Xenopus tropicalis: one gene and its partner. The protein of the gene in region 2 purifies or fractionates together with the protein of the main gene of each other region. This does not show direct contact. Links are inferred from orthologs where the notes say so. Each region holds a gene or a part of one and is shown on either strand. Other genes may lie near its edges. The genes, in order: pkmyt1 and cks2.

Region 1 (4,371 bases), on a different chromosome or scaffold from region 2:
CCTTGGAAGAGCTTCTGCCAGAGAGACAGCCTTGGAAGAGAGTCTGTCAGAGAGACAGCCTTGGAAGAGCTTCTGCCAGAGAGACAGCCTTGGAAGAGAGTCTGTAAGAGAGACAGACTTGGAAGAGCTTCTGCCAGAGAGACAGCCTTGGAAGAGAGTCTGTCAGAGAGACAGCCTTGGAAGAGCTTCTGCCAGAGAGACAGCCTTGGAAGAGCATCTGTCAGAGAGACAGCCTTGGAAGAGCATCTGTCAGAGAGACAGCCTTGGAAGAGAGTCTGTCACAGAGAGACAGCCTTGGAAGAGAGTCTGTCACAGAGAGACAGCCTTGGAAGTGCCGCTGTCACAGAGAGACAGCCTTGGAAGTGCCGCTGTCACAGAGAGACAGCCTTGGAAGTGCCGCTGTCACAGAGAGACAGCCTTGGAAGTGCCGCTGTCACAGAGAGACAGCCTTGGAAGTGCCGCTGTCACAGAGAGACAGCCTTGGAAGTGCCGCTGTCACAGAGAGACAGCCTTGGAAGTGCCGCTGTCACAGAGAGACAGCCTTGGAAGTGCCGCTGTCACAGAGAGACAGCCTTGGAAGTGCCGCTGTCACAGAGAGACAGCCTTGGAAGAGCCACTGTTGGCAAAAACATCTTATATGCATAAACAGGACTGGCTGAAAGAAGGTTTCTAAAATGAATGCTGAAATGGCCATATGGCCTGACCAGAGACATGACTGGCAAAGTATTACCCTTCCTTTGTAAACATTTCAAGGGACACTGTGAGACAAACTGGTAAATAAAGAGACACTTCCTATTATAAAAAGAAAGTGACAGTCAAACAGCATGACATTTGGCTCATATAACAAGCAAATATGCAGAATGTGTAAATAAAATGTTAGTGACAGGCCATGATCAGTACAGAAGATAGGCTTGTAGAGAAACTAAGCAGTAGAACTTTAAAGTGACGGGCAAGCTCAGAAGCGAGAGTGTGAGTTCCTGCGAAGAAACAGTCACAAAAATTACTATTGATGAGTCTGGTATAGATAGCAACATATACTGGATTCATTCATTGTGTTTATAGTTTAGGGAAAGGTTGTGCCAGGAGACAGACAGATTAACACATTGCTGTGAGGAAGACAGGATTCATTTTATTATATTATTTCAGAAAGAGACTGCCAAGGATATGGTGGTTGTTGAACTGGGTTTCTCATACAGTAAAACTTACTATAACATTTACTTTGGTAATCCCATGCGCCAGACATTACACGTTCCACAACTGCTCTTTATGTAAAGCCTCCCCTACAGAAATACCCCTTATAAGCAACTCCGTAGTAGAAGGCATGTTGTAGCTGTCGTGTATTTCGGGTTCCAGGAATTATCACCAGCTGTCCAGGTCACAAGAGGGTGAAGACTGACTTAGCGTTCCACAGTGACACAACATCAGTAGGGTAAGAGCAAGTGGGAATTCAAACTTAATGTTGACCACGACTGCCTAACAAACTGATCCAAAAACTGAGAGGAACCTTGCTCGATATAGTGCCTTGAGTTACATTTTTGTATGCATATTGTGTTTTTAAAGAATTGGCCAAATAAACATTTAAAGTGGCCATACACTGGCTGATTGTAGCTGCCGATTCGGCAGCTTATCGGCCCGTGTAGGGTCAGCAAAGACGGGCCTGCCCAACCAACTTCTGGCCTGAAATCGGCCAGATATCAATCCGACAGGTTAAAGAATTTAGTCGGATCGGGATCTGCATCGGCTAGTTGATGCAGTCCCCACCGACTGCGCCCATTACCGTCTTTATAATTAGATTGTTTGGCACCAGGGTCAAACGACCAAATTAGCCTAAATTTGCCAGATATCGCCCACCCTAAGGTGGGGATATCGGGAGAAGATCCGTGTATGGCCACCTTTTAGTCTCGGAGACCTAACAATTAGATCAACCAAAAACTGAAACCTGAAGCACAACAATTTGCATGATATATAAATATGCCAATTTTACTTTACCTTTAAACAGACGGGACCAACACCCACTTATATAGTGAACTAGTATTCACCCACCCCTGAGTTAGTTACTGTAGGTGCTGTTCTTCTGGATTATAAAAAAAAAATTTTCTCATTTGTATAATTAATTGAAAGTCATTTTTTTTTTGCCCACAGTCTCCTGTATCTCCGAAGAGCGAACAAGGACCGCCCTTACATTCACCTTTAACGTGCCTGCTCATTATGCCTGTTCCAGGAGATGACATGGGAGATACTCCCCTTACTCGCACCCCTATCCCTGTGCCTGCTCACTTCAGTCAGGCAGAGCAAAGCTTTTCACTTAAAAAAAGAGGGCGCTCCCTTTGCTATACCCTGCCACCCAGACCTCCAGTTAAGAGCGCTCTGCCTATTAGCCGCCTATTCCCGAACAAACAGCGGTCTTGGAGCCAGCCTAGGCCACAAAGTGTTTCTTTCCGAAGTCCCCAGAACAATCCCCCTGCAAGCGAGCTCTATGACCAGAGCAAAGGAGAGACCTTTTTCAAGCAGTGTTTTAGAAGCATTTGCAAATTAGGCCGAGGATCCTTTGGCGAGGTATACAAGGTGAGAACGTTTTGAGAAACTTTTATATCCTGAATGATATTTTTAATAAAGTTGCATCATTGTTTATATGATTATTTTTAGGGATGCTACGAAGCCACTTTTTTGGGTTCGGCCGAAACCACCCTGACGGATTCTGCCGAATCCTAAACCGAATCCAAATCCTAATTAGCAAGGAATTCAGTTCAGCCAGGACCGTGGATTCAGCCGAAACTGAATCCTTAAAAAAAAAAAAAGCCTTGTTTTGGCCCGAACCACATTCGGTGCAACCCTAATTATTTTCCCCATGGTGCATATAAATGATCTTACCATGTTTTTTGAATCGCTTTACATATAACTTCTAATCATATCACAAATTCGTTCAGATATCAGTTTAGAATATTGCCTTAATGTGTACTCGATGCTTCTCTTTAGGTGCAAAGCCTTGAGGATGGATGCTTCTATGCCGTGAAGCGCTCAGTTTCTCCTTTCCGTGGCGAGTCAGACCGCCAACGGAAGCTTCAGGAGGTGAGGAAGCATGAGAGAGTCGGGGTGCACCCCAACTGCCTGCGTTTTGTGCGAGCATGGGAAGAGAAACGATTGCTCTACCTGCAGACGGAGTTATGTGCAGGGAGTCTGCAACAGCACTCGGAAGAATTTTCTGGGCCCCTCCCTCCACGTAAAATATGGAACATAACTTGTGACCTGTTGCACGGTCTCAAACATCTTCATGATCGCAACCTTCTGCACCTTGACATTAAACCAGCTAACGTCTTCATTTCATTTTCTGGTGTTTGCAAACTGGGTGACTTTGGACTCATGGTAGAATTAGATGGAACCGAAGGAAGTGGAGAAGCGCAGGAAGGTGACCCTCGATACATGGCACCTGAACTCTTGGATGGGATCTTTTCGAAGGCCGCTGATGTGTTCAGGTGAGAATGATCTTGGAGCTGGAGCTAAAAATTAGCTAGAAGGCTTCTGGATATGCTGCTGGGCCTTGTAACAATTACTGGAGTGCTGCAGATACGGAACTCTCTCTGTGCTGCCTGTTTAGTAAATTTATCACCTTTGCTAGTACGAGGCGTATGCTTGTCTTGGGGTGGGAGATGAGGAATGAACTTGCTACACACAGGTTATGAATAAATGATTACTACTTACTTAGTATTATAACCTCACGTTTGACATCCAGCGGGTATTCTGTAGTTGGGACCACTGGGAGATAATAATTTTTCCAGCACACCAGAAAGTATTTCGCACCGTGCTGACATTTTGCAAATTGAAATTGAAAATGCACTTAAAGTTCCATGTATTATTTTCTATTCCTTTTATCACTTAGCCTTGGAATGAGTCTTCTAGAGGTCGCTTGCAATATGGAGCTTCCAAAAAGTGGAGACGGCTGGCAGCAGCTAAGACAAGGGCGTCTCCCTACAGAGTTCACATCAGGTGAGGATTTATGAAGGTATTGGGGGGGGGGGGGGTAATTGTAGAAAACCTTAATTTTCCTCATTGTCATTGCCCTGTGTGGCAGTAGCCGTATAGGTACTGTTGGCTTGGTCTGAAAGAATCTTACGCACATAATGTCTTAAGGTGGCCATACACTTTAACCTCGCCAAGCGAGCAGATCTTCTCCCGATATCCCCACCTACGGGTGGGTGATATCAGGCGAATTTAGGCTAATTCGGTCAAATTACAGTACAACGATGGTAAAGGGTGCAGTCGGTACGGGGACCACATCAACGAGCTGATGCGGTCCCCGATCCGACTAAATTTTTTACCCTGCCCGATCGATATCTGCTCGATTTCAGGCCAGATGTCGGTCCGGCAGGCCTG
Region 2 (4,334 bases):
TGTATTCACTGAATACTACAATATGTACATATTGTCCCAAAAGAATAAACACAAATCATTTTTCATTTCTGTTGCTCTTTTGGAAGGGGTCTTCTAAAAAGTAGAATGTGCGGCTCTGTAAAAACAAAAACAATGCACTTGTTAACAAAGTCAAGGGTGCATTTATACATCAAATGAGTTCTTGATTCTTTTCTACACAGAGAGTGGCTAACACAACTACAGTAGTTGAAGTACTACACATAGACTGCAAAATACACAATATTGATAATTGTCTGTTTTAGCAAAGACAGTTCTTAGTATTATCTACGACAGGGTATTTTCTGGCGTTTTGTAGCCATGTGTCACAGCCCTAATACAGGTTGTATCCTGCATCCAGATCCTTGCTATCTGAAGAGAGGCTCCCCTGCCACTGCAGGCAGAAAAGCCTCCCCTCATCCGAAGTGAGGGATCTGTTAGCCCCACCTCAAGTGGGAAGCAATTCTGAACAGATATGATCCCTTTAAGGGGGGGGGGGGGGGGGGGGGGGAGACAGTGGCAATTTATTTTTTACCACAATTACAGATAAATTGCCCCTGTAGTGTATCTGAACAAGAATTAAGAATGGAACTGGAATTATTTTAAAAGCAGTCTTACCAGGTTCATGTATCATATAATGGACCCATCCAAGGCTTTGCTGGACACCAAGCCTTCGCCACTCTTCTTCAGACATTAAATGAGTTTTTGGGACTTGCTTGGCCAACTCCTTAGGTAACATAACATGCCTGTTTTAAAAACGAAATACATTTAGCCACAGGTAAAAAAAAATTAGTAAAAATGCAAACACTGGTGACCCAAAAACACTACTCTAAATTGGCGTTTACATCTAAATCAGGCAGTTACTACAAAGCACTGAAAAATATACTTGTTTGGTGATCTAACATTTTGGCACCCCCGGTGAAATAGATTTTACATGTGATGGCAAAGATCACCAAAGTCTATTCCACTGGGGGGTGAGTGCCCTGCCTGCATCCCCTTACATTTGTTACTTATTACTTTCACTAGGCGTTTGTCAATGTACTATGAATATCGAATGGCTCATGGTTTAGGCATGTGCAGGTACATACATACTATTTCTAAATGTATGGGGATTGGATATCAACATCTCTTTTCTCCCTTTCCTACTAATAAACCAATGTTACATTAAAACCTATTTCAGTTTCAGTGGTTTATAATAAATGCAGGATATAGTTTAGTAAAATGGCAAATATTTTGTGTTGTGAGCAGTGTTAGATATCAGTCACAAATTGCTTTTAACTTGCAAAAGATTTGACCATATCAAGGTGACCTCCCCAAATGATTATATCTTTGTTGCTGTATGGCCAGCTTAACATAAACACCTTTAGAGAAGAATGCTCAAGCTCCCATGTTATGTGGGAGTAATACTGGCCCATGCTTACCCATAAAAAGCATTAAAACTGTTACTGCTGCAAAAGTGGCTTAACAAGGTATTCAAAGTTTGCATACATAATTAATCCCCAAACAGAATAACATTTTTTACCCACTGAAGTAACACATTTCAAACAATTGTTTTTGCAAGAAAGATAAGTAACAATAATAAAACTGTTGTCAAACAGGGCAATAGTTTGGAAATAAAGATAGAAAGAGGCAAAAAAGAAACCAATTAAAAAGTTGGAAAAATAAACTACAACATACTAAACGTTAATTGGAAAATGGGACTGTGGGGATTAAATGTGGTTAAGCATCACTATCCCTTTAAGTCTGCTTACACTACATATTTTGTCCATATATCTAAACAGTGGAAATAATGTGCAAATGTTGTGTGGCCCCATAAGACAACTAAATGCCAATTGAAATCTTGTAAGACCACATCAGGCCATCAACGGACACAAAAGCACAGGCCAAACTTCCAAGTAACCTAACCAATCAGCCTGTGAGATGTCCAGAGGGCTACATGATGAGTCCAGGGTATAAGACACTGGGGTCCTGGTAATGGATATAAAATGAACAAGGCCCGCTGCCTAGGTTCTTTTTTAACTGGTACAGATACCATGAATACAGACTAGCAGATATTCTCCTGTAGTACACATAAGGGTATGATGGTTGAGTAATGCCATGCAGTGAAACTTCTATGGCATGTTAGGGTGAAGACACACAGAGCTACTAGTAGCAGCTACAAAAACCGAATGCCGATTATTTACTGATAACTCTACATGTGTTTAAGCAGAACAATTCTCCGTATTGTCTATGGCAGGAGAATTTCTGAAGTTTAGTAGCCATGAAAAAGTAGCTGCTACTAAGTAGCTCTGTGTGTCTTCACCCTTAAGCCTAGTCACCTTTCTGTGAAAAACTCTAATCCAAACATTGCTTCTATGATCCAAAAGTCAGTGGCCACTTTAAGACTTTGATCTCTTGGTACAACTTCCAGCACATACTCTCTAGCAGGCAAACACTGGGCTGAAATTACACCTGAAAACATCACATCTTAAATCATGTTGAAATATTTACAGCAGAATGCTACAGTCTTTCACACAGAAACAAGTGGCTCTTAACTAGAACCCCATGTTAGGCACGAATAGGTGGCATTATAGCCCACAGATACATAAAAACATTAGAATGTATTAATGAGCGCTGACATTGTGCAGCACTTTGCAGAGATGATAGCAATCTTCTTGCCCCAGTGCCGCACACATGGCCAGATCCCTACACATGAATACACACTATGATTTACTTCATTCGGCTCCAATTACCCTCCATGTATAGCTAAACTCCAATGCCCCGTACAGCTGGCTGTAAAGCAAAATTAGGCATCCCACACTACTCCACAGCTGCTGCAGAATTAATGCCAGCAAAAATGGCGCAGTTTCTTTTTACGTTTCAGCCAACGCTGGCCCAGGCTTAGCACAAACCCATGCAGGACCGCATGAGGAGACTTCCTGTCACAAATCCCACCGAAGTTTTACCTGTACTCGTAGTTCTCATCCGAGTACTTGTCCGAGTAGTAAATGTTTTTGAATGACATGTTCCTGTTAGTAGCGGCTATGCCGCGGACAAGTTCGCTCTCCTATCCCCCACTACAGGCGGGTAAAGGTGACGCTTTACTGAATCGGTTGCTCCCTCTAACCGCCACTAGTTAGCAAGTCGCGCTTTGAATTGTGCTGCGCTTACAGATAATTGGCTACGACAAGTTCCGCTCTTGTCCAATCAGAAGAACGTTTTTAATCTTCTGCGCGCGCATCATAAAATGAACCAATCAAAGGCCAGTTGCTGGGCTTCCAAAGGGCTTTAGCCAAGACGTGCGGCGTCTACGACACTAGGGCGGAGCTAAATTCGCATAAATTAGATTGGCCGTAGTCACCATTTTGGTTAAGGGAAAATGTAGCCTAGTACAGGTGATAACGTAGCTGTAGAATGCTTATTAAACTTTCTACGCAAATTTTAATGCAATGATAAAGTAAATGAAAAAAATCAATTCTAACATATATGGGTCTTTCTTACGTTTAACAGGTTTTGCATACATATTTATTATTGCCAGGGAGACTTGAATTTTAGAGTTTTGTTGCTCAGAAAGCACAAATATTTTGCCCATGCTTGCCGCAGTTTCTAAAAAATGAAATAAAGGCTTCTCTTTATTTTTATCTTATCTCCCTATTAATAAGATTAGAGCAAGGCCATAAAACACCATTTTTACCTGCGTGACTGGTAAAATACCAGCCCAGTGGCAACTCAAAAAGCTGGTTCTGTAAGGGAAATAAATAGTTGTACAAACAGTTTCACTGATCAGATTAGTAAAGCAAGAAAACATGCGGTCACTGTGTTATCTCATGACTGAACCTGGTGTAACATATTTTAATATCAGGATGCACAGAATGTCTTCTGACTATTACTGTGCAGGAGACAATTATTTTGTATAATATATTCGTTTATATCAGCTATGATGGGGTTGTTAGTGTGTGGGCCCCGAACACAAATAAACAAATGCTCACAATAGGTAGTTTATCAAAAAGAGAAAAACAAGTTTGACCATCTGATAGTCCCCCTTTGGATTTTGTAAAGAGAAACTGGCTGACCTAGAATTGCATGAACTCCAGCTCACACATGATTGTGGATATAACTGCAATATGCACCAGCTAGTATGGATGGCCAGCATTATTAACGCTAAAGATGGTACTTGGTTACATCTTGGGTCATGCTTACCAGTCAGGTCCAAGCAAAGATCTTTTGATTTTTATGGAACATTTTTCACACTATGCAAAGCATTAGTGACCAGCTTATCCCCTGGAGATAAGGGTTGCCACCTGGCCGGTATTTTACCGGCCTGGCTGGCAAAGATGATG

The links.
Region 1: the proteins of cks2 (region 2) and pkmyt1 purify together in Homo sapiens (affinity purification with mass spectrometry; 3 studies listed by BioGRID and IntAct, counting the BioPlex papers as one, with this or other methods). This does not show direct contact. The link is inferred for Xenopus tropicalis from reciprocal best matches to the Homo sapiens genes CKS2 and PKMYT1.

What each region holds. Positions count from the first base shown.
Region 1 is NC_030685.2:12,696,403-12,700,773, reverse strand, and holds the start of pkmyt1 (membrane-associated tyrosine- and threonine-specific cdc2-inhibitory kinase), read left to right. Parts: upstream 1-1,398; 5' UTR 1,399-1,429; intron 1,430-2,142; coding exon of another isoform or gene 2,143-2,208; coding exon 2,209-2,565; intron 2,566-2,976; coding exon 2,977-3,473; intron 3,474-3,877; coding exon 3,878-3,984; intron 3,985-4,371. UniProt on the Homo sapiens protein: Acts as a negative regulator of entry into mitosis (G2 to M transition) by phosphorylation of the CDK1 kinase specifically when CDK1 is complexed to cyclins. Mediates phosphorylation of CDK1 predominantly on 'Thr-14'. Also involved in Golgi fragmentation.
Region 2 is NC_030677.2:137,845,050-137,849,383, reverse strand, and holds the start of cks2 (cyclin-dependent kinases regulatory subunit 2), read right to left. Parts: upstream 3,048-4,334; 5' UTR 3,020-3,047; coding exon 2,961-3,019; intron 762-2,960; coding exon 634-761; intron 116-633; coding exon 63-115; 3' UTR 1-62. UniProt on the Homo sapiens protein: Binds to the catalytic subunit of the cyclin dependent kinases and is essential for their biological function.